Diceros bicornis minor: one gene and its partner. The protein of the gene in region 2 interacts with the protein of the main gene of each other region in a pairwise test. Links are inferred from orthologs where the notes say so. Each region holds a gene or a part of one and is shown on either strand. Other genes may lie near its edges.

Region 1 (7,267 bases), on a different chromosome or scaffold from region 2:
TCAGAAAAGCCACAGATGTTTTTCAGACCCAAAGCTACATTTTCCTGTAAGAGTCAAAAATAGAAATACAACTACTTAAAGAAATCAAACCATCTAGCTAGACCCAAGTAATCAAATTGATGTAGTGATGAGACAGCTAAACAAATCACCAGAAACTTAAGTAAATACACATTCTCTCCCTGACTGTAAGTTATATGGCCTATCAAAGAATCTCAAATTGATGGTCCTGATTTCAACTCTAAGACAGATCTGGTTAAAAAGCTTTACTGTTACAATGTTAGAGCAAGTCATCTAATTTCACAAAAGAGAACAGAATCAAACAACTACTTTTATTTTTATTTTTTATTTTTTTAAAGATTTTATTTATTCATTTTTTTCCCCCCAAAGCCCCAGTAGATAGTTGTATGTCATAGGTTCACATCCTTCTAGTTGCTGTACGTGGGACTTGGCCTCGGGTTGGTCGGAGAAGTGGTGCCTTGGGGCGTGCCCGGGATCCGAACCCGGGCCGCCAGCATCAGAGTGCGCGCACTTAACCGCTAAGCCACGGAGCCGGCCCCACTACTTTTATTAAGGTAAATAAAATTTTAGTTTTCGCTGTATACGTTATGCATGAGCCACATGATAAACAGCCATTAAAAAGAGAAACAAACATGGCCCTTATAATAGGAACTGCCTATGAAGTTGGGTAAAGAGATGTAAGAAACTATCTCAACATGATTACCATATGTAGAAGATGGTGAACCCTCATTCTCACTTGACATTGTTATTGGCCCCAAGACAATTTCTGCGAGATAAGAACAGCACTTTATATTTAGGTAAGAAGCCAGAATGATATGCCATTCTTATACACTACAGTAAGAAGGAACTAGGGTCCCTAGAATATTCTCAAAGCAGCCCAGACCCACGGCAACGCTCAAACAAAGGGACAGTGCAACTCTTGGGGAGCACTACTCACTGATCTTCTGTTCCAAAAAACTTCACAAAAAAGCATTTCTTTCCACGCGGTTTCTTCAAGTCCTTGGGTGGATTAACAATCTGGGGGATAAAAGGGAAAAAAAGTTTTTTTCCACAGCTCCAAATTAACAAGAAAAAAACCTAAATAAAACAAAAGGAATATGACTGAAAAAGAACCCAGAGCCTAGCACACGTCCAAATGTGGCACTTTATCATGATGTGAGGAAACATGCAAATATTCCAGAAGTTCCTACATCTAACATGTAGCACAGCATTCAATAGATACAATATCCCCTTTACTGCAATGGCCGCATTTTAAAAGCATTTACAACTAAGACCAACATTATTTGCCCCCAGTGTGACCTTGTCATCACTGAAGAAATACACAGGACACTCTTAAAAATACTTGTGTGCAGGAAGAGTTGTGACAGGTAATAGTGACAAAGAAGGACAACCGAGGCACTGAAAATGCCATATTGCAAAGAGACAGTCTAAAGACATTTCCCGGGCTCCAAACAAGAATATAACAACAGAACATTTGGAAAGCTATGACGGATCGCCTCATGCAAAATTTGGAATGCCAACTTTTGCAAAGATGCACTGGAGAGAGCAGCACATATGGTAACATGGAAAGATTTAAACTTAGTTGGGACAAAAATACTTTGACTTTTCACTAACCTACATTTAGATTTCTCTCTTCCTGGAGAATTTATTTTCCTCTCTTTTTGTTAGATTTAACTGTAAAGCTATATTCAAGTTAGAATTGATTTCCAGAGTTAAAAGACTTCACCACAACTCTCTCTGATTCAAGAAATAAGCATTTACTGTAGATTAAATGACCTGGTTTATATTATATTGCTTTTTCTAAACAAACTGATAATAGAGAAAAAAAAATTCTGAGTGTCATTTAAGTAGGCCCAGTTTGACCCAATGCTAGAAATTGAGGCGGGTGCATCTTACATTCTCTACCTTCTCAAACGCAACTTCAGATGTCTTCCTGTAGTAGCTTCTAGTAGTAGAACACACTCACCTTTCCTGGCCAAGGAGGATACCGGCCGAGTTTCCCCCTAGAGAAAACACAGAGAATCAGCATTTGCCTTGGAAAAGCCAGTCCATCTCCTTCAACCCACTCAACATGCAAGTTATTTTCTAAATCTCCACTCGCACCCTCAAGTGCCAGAACAAGTTTGCAAACAGGAGTTCTTAATCTGGCTTCCACAGCTGGGCCCAAGAGGCCCAAATCCCTCAGAGCTGGGATGCAAAATTGTAAACGTATGTGCATAAGGTATGTGCATTCTCCTGGTGACAACAAATACACAATAATGAAACCACAAGAATCACTTGTCTAGAGCCTCCCCGGGACGGGGGCGGGGAGCAGTGTGCTCTGTAAACACAGACTTCCCCTCGCCAAGTCTGGTTTAATTCACCGCGGGACGGCCCGGCTCTGACAAATGCTAATGGGAGCCTTCCTCTGGGTCGGGAAACGAGCTACGCAGCTCCAGGGAGACGGCGAGCGTCAGTCTCAGTTCGGGCGGTTGTCTGGGACACACGAGCGGACCACGAAGGCACCCAGAAAGGCACTAGTCCCCGCCAAGCCTCCGAGTGTAAAGGAGAAGTCCCCCCTCCATTTCTTCACGGGGCAGCGCCAACAGTCCGGTTTCGACACCCCGGGCCGAGCCGCCGCACAGGTCGGTTCCATCGCAACGCGGGTTTTGACGGGCTCGCCCGGCGAGATGGCCCCGCCAGCTCCCCGACTCTGCCGCTTTCCGAGACGCCTGGGCAAGACCTCGAGGACCCGGCGTCCGCAGGAGCCGCGCGGCACCGGGCACTCCCTCCACCGTGGCCGCCGGCGTCCGGGTCCGGGGCTCAGAGACCGGCCCGCCGCGGCCACCCTCGGCCTCAGTCCCCCGGGGCCGGGCTGCCCCTTCCGCCCGGCGTCGCTCCCAGCGCCGGCACCTCGTCTCGCCCTCTCTCGCGGCCTGGAGCGCATAGAAGGGCAGCTCCGAAGCTGGCGGCGACCCCCGTGCCCAGGGGTGCAGCTTCGCGGCGCACCTCGCTCGGCCCCGGCCGCCCGGACTCACCACACCAAATCGCCGAGCCGCAGACTCACAGCCGCCATCTTACCACCCAACCACGGCCGACGCACGGGCCGCCGGGAACATCAGGGCGCCCCGGCGCCGCCCATTGGAGTGCGCCCGGCCACGTGACGGGGGCCGGCTGTCAGCGGCCACGCCGCGGCTCTGACGTCACCGCGCCCGCCGGGGCTCATTGGCCGGCTGAGCGGCACGTGACCCGGGAGCCGCGGTCTCCGCGCGCCGGAGCCCCGAGACTCCCGGCTCCTCTCCCCCTCCCTCCGGCTCGTGACAACGAAGCGCCGGCGGTCTGATTCGGCGGTGGAGGCGGCGGTAGTGACTGTGCGGCCGGCCGAGAGCGCGAGGGAGCCGGCCCTGCGGTCCGCCCCGCCCCGCCCCCGGGTCCCGGCCTCCAGCCCCCTCCTCCTCGGCGCTTCCGTTACGGCCGTTAGTCTCGCGCGGGCCCCGGGGCCGGCCGCCTCGGCGCGCCGGCAGCTGCCCTGACAGACCTCGGCGCGGCCTGGAAGCCAGCCTCCGCCCGCGCCCGGGGCCCCGCGCCCGGCGAGCTCTACGTGGCCGCGCCCGGAGGGCCGACGGGTCCTTCGGAGGCTGCTTTCTGACGGCCGGGGTCCGGGGAGCGGCTCCGAGCCCGCGTCCGCGCCGCAAGTTGTCCCGGGGCGCCGGTGCATCCCGCCCCGAGGTCGCGAGCTGCTCGGCCGACGTGGAGCCGGCGTCTCTCCGCTTCCTCCTGGGCGGGCGCGGCGGCACGGCCCGCGAGGCTCCCCCGGGCGCGCGGGGACCCGGCCATGGGCCGCGGCGCGGGCCGGCCGCCCGCGGGGAGGCATGGCTCGGGGGCCGGCCGCTAGCGGCGCCGCAGCCCGGGCTCCCGGGCCGGCATGAGGACGGCCGCCGGGGGACGAGTGCGGCCCGCGGGGCAGTAGCCTGCGTCGCGCCGGGGACAAAGGTGCGTGTCTTTGTGGGGACCGGGCTCTCGCGTCTGCCTTGCTGTAGTTTGACACTTTGAGGGAAGTTGGGCGCAGGCTGTTGTGACAACAGGAAGGCAGGTGCCGGGCGCGGTCTCGATACGTTAAAACTAAGCCACTGAATGGGAACTGTAATCGGCGGTTCAGCACAGCGCCTGCCCAAGTGTCCGCACACCAGGGAGGGAACAAAATTTAGAAGGTCCCAATGCCAGTTGCAGACTCCAGGGAGTCCGAGGGAAGAGTTAACTTAGAACCGGACTGATCTTGGGTCGTATCCTGCTTGAAAAGGTGGCGGGTCCGCCCGCGTCTCCCATAGGCGTTTTGTTCTGCGGAGACTTGGGTTGTAAGGGGCTTTTAGCGAACTAGCTTGTTCGAAGCCTGGTTTTTCTTGGGCGTTCAGTTTCCCTAAAACACCGTCCGTTAGTTTCAGGAACTGTCATTGACTGTTTTGTGTTTTTTAAAGACAAACTGATCATTTAAAGCATGTTTAAGATTCCAAAAAATAATTTAGTGAAATTAAACACACATTCCTAATTTAAAAACTTTTATTTTTTGAGGACTTGGAAGGGTATTTTAATGACTTGGTAAAAATATGTAAATCCTAAATTGACATCGCACTGGGCTACAGGCATTCCCGTTAGTCAGGAACATGGCAAAGAATATATTGTCTAATATTATTCTGGAAGTTCTAGCCAATGTAATAAGACGTGAAACAAAAATAAGAAAAATAATTTTTCAGAAAGGAGAAGACAAAATTCTCATTTCTGTGGATGAGAGGTCAGCCTATTTTGAAAAAAAAGTTAAGGGAAAACCGTTAAAATAAGAGTTCACTTGTAAAGAAACTAATTGTAAAATCAGTATACAAAATTCTCCTTTTCTTTGTTTCACCAATAATCCGTTTGAAAATATAGTAGTTAAGATGTTGTGTAACAAAAAAATATACAATTCCGGGGAATAACCTCTGAGATACAAAAGGAGGCTAGCATTTCTTGGATAACATCAGTTGAGTTTTTTAAGAGGGGTGTTTTTGTGTGTAGAATACTGTGCTTTTACTTCGAATAATGTTCAACTCATTAAAGTTGAGTATTTAAATACTTAGCTTTTCTTAAGCTTTTTAAATTTTACTCAAATCTTGTTTTATTTACAAATCTAAGAATGTTTATATAAATAAAAATACTTGATCTTTGACAAAGCTTCGATTAAGGCGTCAGTTTAACAGATTAAATTTCTCTAAACAGTGAATTCGCTTTACAAAGTTAAATTCCCTTAAGTGTTTTAAACTGCATTTAAAGTTTTATATGCTTTTTCTCTCAAATACTTCAAACTTATAGAACGGTGAACTTATAAAGCTAGTAGTAAAGTCTTTCCAAGGACTTAACTCTTGTAAGGCTAATAAATGTGTGAATGTAAGGTTCTTTTAAACGCACACTTTCAAAGTTATATTTTCTTAAGGATTTCAAATTAAAATTGTAAGTCTAAGTCATTCATTCATATGTTTTTGTTTTTTCTTTTTTTGTGAGATCAGCCCTGAGCTAACATTTGATGCCAATCCTCCTCTTTTTTTGCTGAGGAAGACTGGCCCTGGGCTATCATCCGTGCCCATCTTCCTCCACTTTATATGGGACGCCGCCACAGCATGGCCCACCAAGCAGTGCGTCGGTGCGCGCCCGGGATCTGAGCCGGCGAACCCCGGACTGCTGCAGCAAAGCGTGCGCACTTAACCGCTTGCGCCACCAGGCTGGCCCCCATTCATATGTTTGATTCTCTTAAATATTGCAAATGATTTAGTAACAAGTGACGGCAATTATCATGATGATTATAAAACTTAATCCAAGATCTAAGTGTTAATATGCTGTAGGTTTGATTCTGTAGTCTTATTTCTATAACTTCTCAGGCTGGCAAAGTCACCTCCACAACTAAGAGAAGCAGATTTACCATATAGGTTTGAAGTTAAAATGTCTAAAATTTGGGCCAAGATAAGGTTACATTTTTATTTTATTTTATTTATTTTTTTAAACAGTTATTTTAATTTTATTTATTTATTTTTTTCCCCCCAAAGCCCCAGTAGATAATTGTATGTCATACCTGCACATCCTTCTAGTTGCTGTATGTGGGACTCGGCCTCAGCATGGCCAGAGAAGCGGTGCGTCGGTGCGCGCCCGGGATCCGAACCCCGGGCCGCCAGTAGCGGAGCGCGCACACCTAACCGCTAAGCCACGGGGCCGGCCCTAAGGTTACATTTTTAAATTACTGCCCAGACAGGGGCAGGGACCTGGTTGCCGCTTCCAGGATGACCTTCCTGTATCCCATCGGTTAACTTGCAGATTCTCTTACAGTGAGGCTGTGCCTGCTCTCATCAGTGGGGGACTTGCAGCTTGCAGCTGGGACTTATTTTCATAACCCAGTGCATCAGGAATGTCCTGGGGGCCTTGAAAGTTTCTTTTAGGGGAATTTCTTTTAACATTTTAATGCATGATGGTCTTTTGTGCCACCAACCTGTTTTGCTGCTAATCACTTTGCTGTCTAATTAGAATTATTTTAACTCTTCGTTTTTAGATATTTTATTCCCTTATCTGATCTTAAAGATTAAAATTTTATGATCATAATAGAATGAATATTGCATATATACAGATATACATATATTTGGATGTATATGATATATGTAAAATCTTCCTGAATTAATTCATATTTATGATTCATTTACAATCAAAATGCAGTGAGGTTTTTTGGGGGAACTTGTCAAAGTGATTCTAAAATTGATCTGAAATGATAAACAGGTTGGAAGACCCAAGTATTACTTTTAAAAGAAGAAGAAAGATGAATTTTTAATTCAAGATGTTAAAATATAAAATTTGTCAAAACAATATGGTACTGGTTGAGGAATCTCTAGATACTAGATTAATATAACAGGATAGATTTCAGAAATAGATCTTAAGATATCTAAGACATTACATATGATATATGCCAAATCAGCAGGGAAAAGAAGGATTATTAGTGATTGATGCTGGGAAAAACCAAGTTAGAGCCTCATCTCTCACCTTATAGCAGAGCAAATTCAACTTGGGTTAAAGAGTTCAATGTGAAAAATATATCTATAAAAGGCTGGATAGGTAAATTCTTACACAAGAATTACCTGGCTGGAGAAGGACATTCTAGGCATAAAAGAAACGGGAGAAACCATAAGGGAGAAGAGGCTAATTTTAACTGCATAAAAAGTTAAAATTTCTTTCATCATACCTTGCTTTAAGCAAAATTAAG
Region 2 (7,264 bases):
TAAATACATGCAAGGAGCCACAGTACAGGGCCTGGCACCTTCTAAGTGCCCAATGAGACAGAAAGAACCTAGGAAAATTCCAGCTATTCCCCATTTCCTGCCCATTCAGCCCACCTGCTCGTGAGGCCTCCACCAAGGAGCAGGTTTCAACTTCATCACAAGTCCCTCTTCCCTCCAGAAAGGGACTCGGACACCAGCACAAGTCACCACCCACCAGGGGTTTAATTCTCCTGGGTCAGAAGGTCAGTTCAGAGAGGGGCTCTGCCTTGTCCCCACCCAGTGGGGAAGACCTGCAGAGCACCCTGGGAATGTCCATGCTCAGAGGAGCCAAAGAGTCTCTGAGCAAGAGGAAAAGTGGGTTCTGGGGTCTCAGGCCGCCTCCTCCTCTTCGCTTTCCTCCTCACTCTCATGATACTGTCTGCGGTTGGTGTTAACAAAGAGGTCGGAATCGTCTTCAGAGCTGGACTCTTCTCCTGATGACTGCGGCTCAGCTGAGAGTTCTGGCTGAGTCTGTCTACATGGGGAAAAAAGAAAGAGTTAGCCCAATGCCTTCTGGGGAAACCAGATCTGCAATAAAGGAGGCCCACAAAAAGGAGGACCACATGGCCAAGCAGCCAGGGCTCCGCAAATCAGACAAAGAGAGAGGCAGAGCAAAAACAGCCTAAAGACTACCTCCCAACCCCCCTCAAAAGTTTGCTAGACCCACAGGTTTTAATAACAACCATTCTACCACCACTGACTCTCAGTGGACCCACATTATATACCACGTACTATACTAAGCAATTTCATAAACACTGATTCCTTTAACCCTCACAAAGCTCCCCCCAACCCTCTTTTTTTTTCAGTGAGGAAGACCGGCCCTGAGCTACCATCTGTTGCCAATCTTTCTGTTTTTGCTTGAGGAAGATCGTCCCTGAGCTAACATCTGTGCCAGTCTTCCTCTATTTTGTATATGGGACACCACAGCATGGTTTGATGAGCAGTGTGTAGGTCTGCGCCCAGGATCCAAACCTGTGAACCCGGGGCTGCTGAAGGGGAGCGCGTGAACTTAACCACTATGCCACTGGGCCGGCCCCAAAGCTCCCATTTTAAAGGTGATGAAATTGAGGCTTAAGAGATTAAGTAAGCTGCTTCAAGTCACTCAGTTATAAGTGGCAAAGCTAAGATTTTAACCCAGGGCCTCTGACTTTCAAGCCATGCTCATAACCATATATTATAGCACACGTTTAAGAGTTCTCACCAGGAACCCTATGTAGGGAGAAAGGAAAGCTCTATTTTTCCCTCAAGACACCAAGGCCTGAACCCCTATTTTCTGTCCTCCCTATCCCAAGGCTTGTTCCTCACCTGTTCCTGTTGTTGTTGTGTTTCTCAGCCACTTCAGAGAAGGCCTCAGGCCTGTGCCAAGAGAAGAGCCAGAGTCAAAAAGGAAAGAGAAATCTTTCAGCCAAAAGGCTGTTTCCAGCTGTCCCCGCCTGGGATGCCATGATCTTCCCTCCCCCAGTTCCACAGCTAGGAAGTCAATCCTCCCAGAAGCCAGAAAGACCAAGGGGCCTGCCCTACCAGAGCCCCTCCTTCTGCAGAGAGCGCACATGGTCCTTGCAGAGCACAAAGGAGATCTCAGCCTTCACCTTTTCTCCCTCTTCAATAGGGTCAACAATGAGAAAGTCCCCTGTCCACCAAGAGGAGAAAAGACAGTCAGTCCTGCTGGCAGTGGGGAAAGCCAAAGGCAACGAAAATGGTTCTGCCCGCCCCTCGCCCCCCCCAGAGCTGCCTCTCTCACCTCTCTTGATCCAGATGTTCTTGCGGTATTTGGAAGGCATGCTTACCAGGAAGCGCTGCCCCTGGGCTGTCTCCACTTCATGCAGATTGTTCCCTGGGGTCCTGAGTACCTGGTCCAGGAGAGACCAAGAACCAGTCAGGCTGATCAGCCAGCTTGAACACCCTCTGAGCTACAGTGCACCCTGCTCTCACCCCAGGGGCCCAATGGGAGTGGAGGAGTAGTGGGCAGAGCAGCCTGTGCCCAATGCCACTCACCCGCACGATCTGCTGCTGATCAGAGGGCACCATGTGCTCCCCCAGCACCTCCTTCACCACATGCTTCCTCTTGGTGGCCTGAGACATGCCGGGTCCTGTCCCAGGCAGGTGAGGGACGCAGAGACTGTCAACTCCTCCTTCTGAGTTTCTTGGACGGCAGGCTCAGAACCCAGAACTGTTTTGAAGATGAGGAGGAGCCTTTTACTGAGGAGTGACACAGCGTCCTGGTTAAGAATGTCGCCTCTGAAATCCAATTGCTTCGATTCAAACCCTATCTTGGCTATTCCTAGGTGTTCAACTTCCCTAGGCCTCAAAAAAAAAATAATAGCTAACGCAAAGCATTACTGTTAGGAGAAAATGACAAGAGAGCCCTTAGCATGGTGTACGACACATACAACAACTCATATTGTAAGTACTAGCATAATCATAAAACCTACGTGTTCTAGAGTAATAAATCATTCTGGTAACAGCTCGGGAAGGAGGATGAGATAAATCGCATCGTTCTCAGCACGCTTGTACATTACAGGCATAGCATAGCCACACAACACAGATGCTCAATCTCTCAACACATTACAGGTAGAGACCAGGCGGGAGACCATCGCGATAGTCCAAGCTAAGAATGAATTAACTGAAGGTCAGGGTGAGCCGGCTTGGTCTGCGGCATCTGCGATATTTGTGACTTGGCTACTGAGAAGACAAGCACTGGTACCACCAAGATCGATGGCTTCCAAACGAAACTCCGAAGTGTCACCTCTAGTTGCCCTCCCACCCCTCCTCCCTCCCTATCCCGCAGGAAAGACGCTCAGAGAGAGACCCACACTTACTCTCTGGCCCTCGTCTCCCACGAGTGCTGCCTGAACGACCCCGTTTCTCCAGGCTGGAGGCTAAGAGCGGTTCCTCCACGACACACTTGGCAGCTGAGCCAAGGAAGGCACAGAAAAGGGACTTGCCGGCGGTCACGACGGTGGTGTCGACTCGGACTCAGGTCTCCCGCACCTCCGCATCCCTCCAGACTCCTACAAGCCCGACGCCGACGACGACAACGCGAGTCAGCCTGCGTCGGTCCCTTCCGAGCACCGTACTTCCGGCGCTCTCGGAAGCTCTCGGCCACCCCCCCCCCCCCCCCGGCCCTTGTCCGTCTCTCTAACTCTTCCCCCCGCCAGGTCGGCCGAGGCTAAGTCCTAGAGTTCCGGGTGCCGGGCAGCGAGGAAATGAAGTTTTCTCCTCCGAGGCCTCCGCTCCCCGAGACCGGAAATGCTGTCCCAGAAGCGAGATCATAGAAAGGACCCCCGCTTCCCGCGAAGCGACCAGAAAGAAGCGCCTACTAAAGGCACCGTCGAGCTCCGGAGCGCCTCATCTCTATGGCTCTAGGCGGCTAGAAGTGCCCAATTTAGATTTTTTTTTTTTAAGGCGGCTCTTGAGGCGACCCGGAAGCGGAAGTGGAAGAAAGTTCTAGTGGGTTGAGGTAGCGGCGGGAGCAGCCGGTGGCGGGAGGAGCCGTTACGGGAACGGGAGCCGCGGGTGAGCACGAGCTGCTGAGCGGGGCCTGGGCTGGAGGCCAGAGGAGGCGCGGGGAAGAGAGGAGGGAAGGGGCCGCATGTGCCAGGCGGGACGGAAGATGCGCCCTCGCAGATAGCTTGGCCGCGATGCAGGGAGAGGGCGGGGCGGCGCGTGGGCGCGTAGGCGCGCGGAGGGGGCGGGGCGGCGCGCTGGGGGCGGAGCCAGCACGGCGGGCGGACGGGGCGGGAGCCCAGGCGGGCCGCGGGGCTGGAGGAGCGGGTGTGCGCGCTCCGGCTTGCGCCTGCGCCCTGTGAGCGCTGTGGGGCGTGTGGGGCAGACCGACCACTCGTTTGTTTTTCAGAGCAGGTAGCCGGTCCAGGTACAACCAGTGTCTTCTTTGCCCAGCCAAGGTCACAGAGGGAGTGACAGCCTCAGGGCGGCCCCTGGCTACTCACCCTGGGACTCTTCCCACTGCTCCGCGCGCGCCACCTGTTAGGGCAAGATAGATTTTCCTCTGGAGCAATACCAAAACCCAGTTCCCACGGGGAGTGGAAGAGATTTCTCTTGAACAGTGGGGAAAAGAATTTCCTTGGTTTCAGTTTTCTCATCCGTGAAATGAGGGGACTCGAGTAAAACCACCATCATGGCTGGTCCAGCTTCCTCTTAATGAGATTGCTCATGGGCTTTCTGGAGTGCCCAGGTTTTCAGCCCTAACCTACTTTTTCTTGGGATTCCCAGATTCAGCCTGATCAAGATGACAACTTCTCAAAAGCACCGAGACTTCGTGGCAGAACCCATGGGGGAAAAGCCAGTGGGGAGCTTGGCCGGGATTGGTGAAGTCCTGGGCAAGAAGCTGGAGGAAAGGGGCTTTGACAAGGTGTGGGGTGGTTGCGTGCACCTGGGGAGGGCTGGGGGCCGGGTAGGGGACAGCCTGCAATGTTTCTTGTAGTTTGGGAGTGAGGAATGTGAGTGTACTTGTTGGGGGTGTGTAAGCTGAAGACATAGGCAGAGCCTGCCCTGCCTTCCAGGCTCCTGTGCTTTGATGCCACACTAAGGGTCTTATTCTTAGTCCCACAGAGTACTTAATGGCATTTCCTCTTTGCCTGTTTTGTAGGCCTACGTGGTCCTTGGCCAGTTTCTGGTGCTAAAGAAAGATGAAGACCTCTTCCGGGAATGGCTGAAGGACACGTGCGGCGCCAACGCCAAGCAGTCCCGGGACTGCTTTGGGTGCCTGCGAGAGTGGTGCGACGCCTTCTTGTGATGCTCCCCACAGAGCCCCCAAACCCCAGCCCTAGCCTTGAGTCTGCAGAGTTTGCAGCCAAGTGGGGACTCCTCTCCCGTCCTCTACAAAGGAAAAGGTTGCTGTTGTGTCTCACCTCCGATGTACTCGAGTCTTTGGGGAGTTCTCTCCCTTCACCATTTCAACTTTTTTGGAAATCTTGCTGTTGCATGCACCTGCCTTCCCCTTCCCCTGCCAGTTTCATGTTGACAATTACCAGCTTTTCTGAGTGGATTCCTGGCCCCTATCCTCACTCCCACCCTCACCTGTGGTCTGTTTTATGCCATTTGGCTCGTTTTTTGGCAGAACAGTCACTGTCCTTACAGAGTTTTTTAAATCAATAAAGTCAGTGGCCTTCATGACTGGGCTTCGTGTGTGAACAGCAGGTGGGCTGGGAGTCGCCTTTTCACCAGAGACTGACCAGGTGTGCTGCCCTCCTTATCAGCGCAGGTTGAAAGTAGCAGCTTCCTTCCCAGCCTGGAGGGCAGCCGCCCCAGCCACGTGGGCCTCCAGCAGGTGCCTCGGAGTGTCTCAATCCCTTAGTGATGTGGGAGAGGGTGTGGGTTGATTCTTCCTGGGATCCATATGGGCTGTGGTGTTCCAGATGTCAGTGGAGTCAACAGCTGGGCTAGGCAGCACCTGGAGGAAAAGTCAGTGGGAGTGAGAGGTGGCAGGAAGAGGGTGGACCAGCTAAGAATGGGTAAGAGTTCCCCTGCCCATCCTCATGTGCTCTCCTGGCCTCTGGAGGAGTGGGCAGTGCTCTTGCTGGTTGTCCTGCTCTCGTAGGGAGGCAGAAAGAGCATGGGCATCACAGCTGGGGGCTCAAGTGAGTTACACTTTCATTTGGTACATTTTCATCCTGTTCTTTGTTGAACACTTAGTATGAACTAGGCTCACAACTAAGATCTTTGCAAACATTTTTTCTTCCACAATAAGAAAGTGTTTTCTCTTGTACAGGTGAGGAAGTGAGGGGCTCAGAGAGTCTAAGTGATTTGTCCATGGACTTACTGCTTAGGAAGTAGCCAGGCTGGCCCTCAGAAAGTAACTTGGAAGCCCATGTACCTGAGAGCCCTGTGTTCCTTAGTCCTGTCACTCTTCCTCTCTGAGCCTCAGTTTCCCCACTTGGGAAATGAGGTGGTGGTAAAGATCAGGTGAGATGCTAGCTGTGGGCACCCAGGCCTGCTTGGCTTTCATTCCTTCAGCAGAGCATCGTTGAGAATTTTCTTACAGAATTTTCTTTAGATGGCTTAAGTCTGCTGAGGAGAGAATGACAGATGTTAAATACAAAAATTGGACTAATATGAGAAAATTTTCATGATCTCAGAGTAGGGAAAAATTAAGAAGAAAAAGTTGATAGGGGCTGGCCCAGTGGAAGAGTGGTTGAGTTCACTTGCTCTGCCTCAGCGGCCAGGGGTTTGCGGGTTCAGATCCTGGGCACGGACCTACACGCCGCTCATCGAGCCGTGCTGTGGCAGTGTCCCACATGAAGTGGAGGAAAATGGGCACAGATGTTAGCTCAGGGACAATCTTCCTCGGCAAAAACTAAAAAGTTGATAAATTCAACTCCGTTAATAGAAACTTCGCTCGTCTAAAGATACCATAAAGAGAGCGAGGAGACTTGTCAACCCAGGGTGGGGAAGGAGCTTTGCAACACCCAAAGATAACAAAGGTCTGTAGCCAAGAAAAAGCAGACAACACAATAGGAAAGTGGGTAGAAGACCCACAAGGCAGCCAGAGTGGATACCCATATGGTGAATAAGCCTATGAAAAGGTGCTGGATTGTATTAGTAATCAGAAATGCAAATGAGATGCCATTATACACTCACTGGACTGGCAAAAATTTAGACAATGCCCTGTGCTGATGAGGGAACAGAGCAAGAGGAACTGAGAGCCAGGTGGTGGGAGTGTAGATTGGTATGAACACTTGGGAAAAAACATTCGGGCGTTTTCTAGTAAAAATGAAGATAAGACCCACCCTGTGACGCAGCAGTTCCACTCCGGGGGCTGTGACCGAGGACACGTACCTGCACCAGCACCCGTGTGAACGTTCGCAGCGGCCTTCTTATGTCAGCCTATCAATACCAGTGAAGAGGAACAGGTGAGAGCTGTGGACAACCGGTGAATCCCAACCTCAAGCGAATGAAACAAGCCATCACATCGTCTGATCCCCTTCATGTAAAGTTAACAAGTGAATTCTTGCTTGGAGATTGCTACACAGGTGGTAAAACTAGAAAAATGAAATGTTTATTGCAAAAGTCAAAGGTAAAGAAACAGAGTGGCAGTGATGACCTTTTGGGGGGAGGCCGGAGTGATGAGTGGTGGTACCACAGGCGTTGACTCCGTCTGTTAAAAGAGAACAGACGTGTTCTGTGTACTTTTTTGTCTGTTAGCTACATCGCAGAATGGTAGAAGGATAAAAGGGAAATCAAAAATAAAGACCTGGGGATACAG

Evidence for each region. The genes of interacting proteins can lie anywhere in the genome.
Region 1: the proteins of EIF1AD (region 2) and GLYR1 interact in binary tests that used the Homo sapiens proteins (3 or more experiments, as listed by UniProt). The two-hybrid records come from large-scale screens. The link is inferred for Diceros bicornis minor from reciprocal best matches to the Homo sapiens genes EIF1AD and GLYR1.

What each region holds. Positions count from the first base shown.
Region 1 is NC_080765.1:43,772,096-43,779,362, reverse strand, and holds the start of GLYR1 (cytokine-like nuclear factor N-PAC), read right to left. Parts: upstream 3,094-7,267; 5' UTR 3,074-3,093; coding exon 3,036-3,073; intron 2,022-3,035; coding exon 1,985-2,021; intron 1,036-1,984; coding exon 956-1,035; intron 1-955. UniProt on the Homo sapiens protein: Cytokine-like nuclear factor with chromatin gene reader activity involved in chromatin modification and regulation of gene expression. Acts as a nucleosome-destabilizing factor that is recruited to genes during transcriptional activation.
Region 2 is NC_080770.1:7,291,678-7,298,941, reverse strand, and holds the start of EIF1AD (probable RNA-binding protein EIF1AD), read right to left. Parts: upstream 3,101-7,264; 5' UTR 2,859-3,100; intron 2,278-2,858; exon of another isoform or gene 2,259-2,277; 5' UTR 2,122-2,258; coding exon 2,035-2,121; intron 1,890-2,034; coding exon 1,781-1,889; intron 1,670-1,780; coding exon 1,561-1,669; intron 1,396-1,560; coding exon 1,345-1,395; intron 515-1,344; coding exon 370-514; 3' UTR 1-369. Other genes in the region: BANF1 (barrier-to-autointegration factor), read left to right, coding at 4,289-4,411, 4,649-4,795.